2 linked regions of the Yarrowia lipolytica genome follow. The protein of the gene in region 1 binds, or shares a complex with, the protein of each later gene. Links are inferred from orthologs where the notes say so. Each region holds a gene or a part of one and is shown on either strand. Other genes may lie near its edges. The genes, in order: YALI1_B18205g and YALI1_C00962g.

Region 1 (3,001 bases):
GTACGAGTATGTATTCGTACGGTACAGTCATATATTCGAGTACGTGTATATGTGTCGCACATCATTAGTCGCGCGTACGCTATAGGTAGGGTCAATAAATTATCATTTATGTTACATGCTGAAGCAGTATCAGTTTCCATCACCCTCCTTCAACTTCTTGGTAGTGCCACGGTCCTTCTGCTCGTCAGCTTTTCGCTTAGGGCCTAGTTGCAATCCGCTGCCCCTCTCCAGCTGTGTGAACGTGCCTGAGGCAAAGAATTTGTTATCCTGGGTGGCCGTCTTGGGTCCCTTGGGTTTACTAAGCTCCATAGACTGCGCCGTAACAGACAAAGACGACTGAAGACCGTCGATCATAGGTTTGGGACGGTTCTTGAGCATCTCCAAACGCGATCGAGCCCCCTTGGACATTCTTGCACGGGTCTTGGAATCAGCTTCAACTCTTCGAGCTGATCCCAGGCCAGCAGCAGAATCCAACATTCCCAGACCCACGGTCTCTCCGTAAACGTCCACAGTCTTTTCGGCCTCTCCGAACGCCATTCGGTTGGCAGCAGCAGCCATTTCACTCTGCTTGAACTGCTCCTTGAACTTTCTGATCCGCTTTCCACCTCGCTTCTTTGAGGGTTTGTCGATAGGAACAGGTAGGGCCTTGACTCCCTTTATCTCCGGGGGCTCTGCTAGTTTCTGCAACTTTCCTTCAATCTCCTCTCGCATTTTAGATCCGAACGATCCATCTGTAGATGCTCTAGAGGCATCCAAACGGGCTGCAAGTACTAGCTTGGCTGACAACATTCGCATGGCCTGCTTTCTGATATCAGCAGGACTCTGTTGTACCACATCCGAGTAATACAAGTAACCCTGCTGTCTTTGTGCTTGTCCAAACCCCACCGCAGTCTCTCGCTTAGCTCCTAGAGAAGGTATGTTGCAAGAGGGGGTCTTTGCCAGACCGTTGAGACCACCCACAAATCCAAGAATCTGAGCTGCACAATGAGCACCAATCAGAATGGCCGTATTGGGTGCAACGAGGTTCAGTTTCGAGGAGACATAGTTAGTGATTTGGCGCTTAGCAGCGTCCAATGCTATCAGTAGCTTACAAGCTTCGTTTATAGTGGCCATCTCAACGTCCGAGAGTCGTCGTCCCCCTTGGTCCACAGTCATGGTAATAGTCATCATCACTGACTTGTGCACCACCTGTTTTAAGTGCGGGCTATCTGACTTTGCCACTGCTGCGGGATCGTTTCCAAGAATGGCCACTACCTGTGCATGCTGTAGTGGGTTGGCGATGAGTGATCTGAGCTCGGGGTACCGCTGGCTGTATCTAGTGGCGATGAAGTTGTGCAGCTCAGCTACTGCGTTGTCGATTTCCACCGAGTACTCGTTTGCTCCCACAATCACATGGTACTCTGGATTCTCTTCTAGATTTGATGTGAGTGCGAGAGTTGACTGAGTGGCACCACTTTCGTACAGAGAAATGCTTCTGAGTTGTGGCAGAAGTCTGGGGACCATTGCTGCCGAGTTGGTGGACCCCAGCAGGTCCAGGTTGATGTTATTGAGTGGAGTAGGCGACAGAGGTTCTGTGGTTTCGGTTGCAATGACTTCAGTTGGGATCTGGGAAGTCGCATCTTCCATCACCTCGTCCACCTCTTCATTTTCTTCGTCGCTGGAGCCAAAATCGGCCAGAATTTCGTCAGCCAGGCCCATTATGTCGTTGTGGGGGTGAGCTCAGCCTTTTGATGGTGATACAGTAATTGAGGGAGGATGCAATATTTAGAGTTATGATCTTTTCGAACACTTAGAGTTCCGATATGCAGTGGACTTCGAAGTGCAAAGACACCGTGAAACGCGTTATCACAACTACAAGTATTCCTGAACGACACTCAAGTTCCTCTGGAAGCCCTGTAAAAAAAACATGAGCAGAGTCAGCATGTTTCCTACGGAAGACAAACGGTCTTATTTCGAGCGACAACGGGACCAGTACATCAAAAACATCTCGGCCAGCATGGAAGACGTGCTCAACAACCTGAACGCGCTGAACCGTTCGTTGGAACACACTGTGGGCCTGTCTCAAAAGTCTGAAGAGCTCGCAGAAATGTGGAGCCACTTTTACAACACCGTGAATGAGGATCTGGTGAAGACGGAGGACGGAGACATCGAGGTAGACACTACCAAAGAGTAGTGTAATTTGGAGTTGCGAGTTACGAGTAAGGGCCTGATGGACTTGCAGACGATTATTTATAAATGTATTCTAATGAACTGATGAGTGCTTTGAGATGAGTAAATGGCCGGTTTTCAGATTTCGAGTTATGTGATCTAGGTCTATAGTACAAGTATCTACTTGTAGGATTAAAAATTCTACTCTACAGTTTGTACCTCCGTAGATGAACTGGGCCACTGGCACAGTATGCACAAGTAGAGCTACCACACAACTCCTACATTATATGTACTCGTACATATAATAATACGGCTGCTACCGTTCATTGCCGTTACACAGACGTCGCGCCCTCTTGTATCCTTCTCATCATAATGCATTACTATATCACCCCTTGTTAGCTGTGGTTGATGCTTTCTACAACACCAAGCACTGGTGTCGTTTCTTCTTCTTCTTCTTCTCGATCGGTTCCGAGGCTGGTCTGGATTGTAATTTTGGACGTGTGGCTGACGCTGCTGCTGCCGCTGCCCCTTTACTTTGTGATCGCACAGGTTTGGTTCTCTTTGATCTCCCTTTTTCCTTCAGCACCGCTCCCATGGCGACTGCAAACACCTCTCTAACGCCAGACATGTCCTTTGATGAGCACTCCATGTATTTGTACACTCCGAGTCTCTGTGCCATGGATTTGCCCTGCGTCGGCGTGATGTGGCTCAGTCCCTGAGCTTTGAGATAATGGGCGGATGTGGAATCGGCTCTGAGATCGGTTTTGAGACATACCAGCACCACTGGCGTGTCTGGACAGAAATGCGTCACCTCAGGGAACCACTTTTCGGCCACGTTTTCAAACGATGACGG
Region 2 (2,778 bases), on another chromosome or scaffold:
GCTCATAAGCGTCCTTCTACTGGGAATTGCCCATGTGATCTGGTACGGAGTAAGAAGCACCATTCGGTCGCCTCAGCTCCAAAAGAAATCCCGGGACTTACTGGTCGGTCTCTCAATGCCAAACCGTTGGCTACAGCAGTCGTCTTTGTCGGCGTAGTCTCTACCTCGACAAGGAAGTTCTCGTCTTCCATCTTCTTCAAGCTGTGGATGTTTTGCGGCCATTCTCATGAGTCCTCTGGTTTACTATTCTTCCAACAAATGAAGGTGAGGGCTCGCTAGGTCCATTATTAGTCATATGTAGATTCACTGGACACCAGACTACATTAATCGTCCCCCATCCTACCATACTGTAGAGAGTCATAACCGTTGATGATGTACTGCTAGGAGTAACACATTATCGTATTGACAGGTGTAACAAGTGCGACTGCCAGCACAGTGGCAATCCCACAAGACTTCAGTACGTACGCAAATTTAGAAACCATGCGACGATCCGGTACACGATGGGTCCCTGGACCCTCTTGTGATCTAAAATGGATATAATACATTCATCAATAAATACCAATTACCAAGGGGTGGCGGCTGGGTTAGTTTTGTCAAACGAGAGAGTTTGGTGGTTGCTTCGAGTGTTGGTGAGGCACGGTAAACGCCAGATGAGAGAACACAACAGAAAGAAGCACGTTCCAACTGGAGTCACCTCAACATAAGGGATCCCAGGTGCACAGAACAGAGTCAGATTAAAAAACACAGTCACACAACCAGAGTCGCTGAATAAGTCATGATACAGAGATACCCAAAGGTCGGAGATGTCGGAAGATAGGTCGGGTCAAGTCGAGTCCATGGTACTCCAAAGAGAACCATAACAAACCTACTTCCAGCCTACCATATCCCATCACTCCTCTGTGCACCCATCTGATTCACCATCCTGATTGTGTCAAGTCTTCCTTCTCTGTCACCATCCTGTTGGTGTCACATTCCCTTGTGTGTGACCACAGTCTCCAACATCGGTATCACGTCACCTAATCAAACCACGGCTAATCACTTGTGACCACACTGATCACACGTGATCGCTCGCGTGACAGGCAAACGCCAAATCACTTTTAATACTCACCCTGCTGAGTAGGCAACAGGTTGAATCGCTTCTTGAGAGTGACTCGCTGTCGAGAGTACTTGTCGTCGGGAGAGAATCGGGCGGGGTGGGCGCTCTTGGTAATCTCGCCAGACTCGGTGGTCTTCTTGAGAGTATAGACCCGCTTGCCGTCGCTTCCAGTAGTGTACATAAGATGCATTTTGAGGTGTTGTGTTGTGGTGAGATGGAGAGCTTTGACAAGATTTTTCATGTACCAAAAAAAAATTGTCCCAGTGCGCAGAACCTTAACTTTATTGGAAGGTGAAGAAGATATTTGTAGATGTTACCGATGGGCTACAAGAAGGGAGATAATGGAACTATGAGTAGATAATATGAAGGAGAAATCCCCAAGGTACGACCTGGTACTTTTAAAATATCAGTTGCATCTCTACAAGAAGACATACATTGAAACAACCGAAAATCACCCCAAAAAGAGATACTAATGTTAATAAAAGTACCCATATTTGCTTTAGAGATCATTTTAATTCCCATATATGTTGAACAAATCAATTTGAGTAGCTACTCACTCTACAGCTCTCTTTTGACTATTACCGTCCACTTCTAGATCACGTGACCTAAAACCTTAATGCCACACACTTTCAAACTCTAAGCAGACGGTGCACAACATGACGAAACCACACTAACAACGCGACTCAACACAACAATGGAAAATCCCCACGAAAAGGACCAGTCCGACGCTCTTGCGCGCATCATTTCTGGCGTTTCCAAGCTCAACTCGTCCATCGCACGCGTCAACGAGATCCAGGAAGAGGTCTATTCACGCAACCTTAACCTCTCGGTGGTGTCTGAAATCATGCAGAACTACCAGGCCTCGGTGGATTACTATTTGCGAGAAAGTGGAGCCATGAAAGAGCCGTTCAAGAACGATGATTAGCAGGTTTACGTGACCGACAGTATGGATGGCTGCGGCTGTTTCTTTAGTCAGCAAACATATGAGCTGTGTGCTGTACGGGTACAGTACTGCGGACGGCTACGGGGCAACCCAGTCACGTGGTATGTTGACTGTGAGATGCGGTTCTGGCTACTTTCTCTGCGACGTGATTCTTTTACCGCATATGTATTTATATTTATTGATCTAATGACATCAGTTGTGATTATGTGGAGTACCATACCATATCAACGCAAGAACGGCACAATAACAGCACAAGAACGGCCCAAGAACGGCCCAAGAACGGCACAAGAACGGCACAAGAACGGCCAAGAACGGCCAAGAAGGACATTGTACTCGTACAGTAACAATAACATATATTACCAGCATTGCAAGGTAATATTCTAGCGACAAGAGGTACTTTGCTTTACTGTATGTACTTACACTACATGTTTTACCCACACGAGTTCGATACAGTTATACAATCTACTGTAAAGTACTGTACTGTAAATTCCAAGTAAATTGTCAACTATGAATTCACGACTGTGTCCGAGGAAACTACGAGAATACAGAATATCATTAGTCTAGGTGGCATTATTATTATGAATCATTTGAAATTGTCTAATAAAGCCATTAATTGGCTAAACAAGCCAAGTCTCTTGCCATTCTGAACTTCCTCAGCGAGACTTCTCTTACTTCTCCTGAATAGTACGCTCAATTAGCTTCAAGTAAACGACAACAGTAAACTCTACAATCTCAGACG

The links.
Region 2: YALI1_B18205g (region 1) and YALI1_C00962g share a complex: the UniProt entries of both Saccharomyces cerevisiae proteins name them as parts of the DASH complex. The link is inferred for Yarrowia lipolytica from reciprocal best matches to the Saccharomyces cerevisiae genes DAD1 and DAD4.

Annotation. Positions count from the first base shown.
Region 1 is NC_090771.1:1,819,456-1,822,456, reverse strand, and holds YALI1_B18205g (uncharacterized protein), read left to right. Parts: upstream 1-1,906; coding exon 1,907-2,173; downstream 2,174-3,001. Other genes in the region: YALI1_B18207g (uncharacterized protein), read right to left, coding at 130-1,698; YALI1_B18190g (uncharacterized protein), read right to left, coding at 2,564-3,001. UniProt on the Saccharomyces cerevisiae protein: Component of the DASH complex that connects microtubules with kinetochores and couples microtubule depolymerisation to chromosome movement; it is involved in retrieving kinetochores to the spindle poles before their re-orientation on the spindle in early mitosis and allows microtubule depolymerization to pull chromosomes apart and resist detachment during anaphase.
Region 2 is NC_090772.1:94,478-97,255, forward strand, and holds YALI1_C00962g (uncharacterized protein), read left to right. Parts: upstream 1-1,790; coding exon 1,791-2,021; downstream 2,022-2,778. Other genes in the region: YALI1_C00958g (uncharacterized protein), read right to left, coding at 1,098-1,337. UniProt on the Saccharomyces cerevisiae protein: Component of the DASH complex that connects microtubules with kinetochores and couples microtubule depolymerisation to chromosome movement; it is involved in retrieving kinetochores to the spindle poles before their re-orientation on the spindle in early mitosis and allows microtubule depolymerization to pull chromosomes apart and resist detachment during anaphase.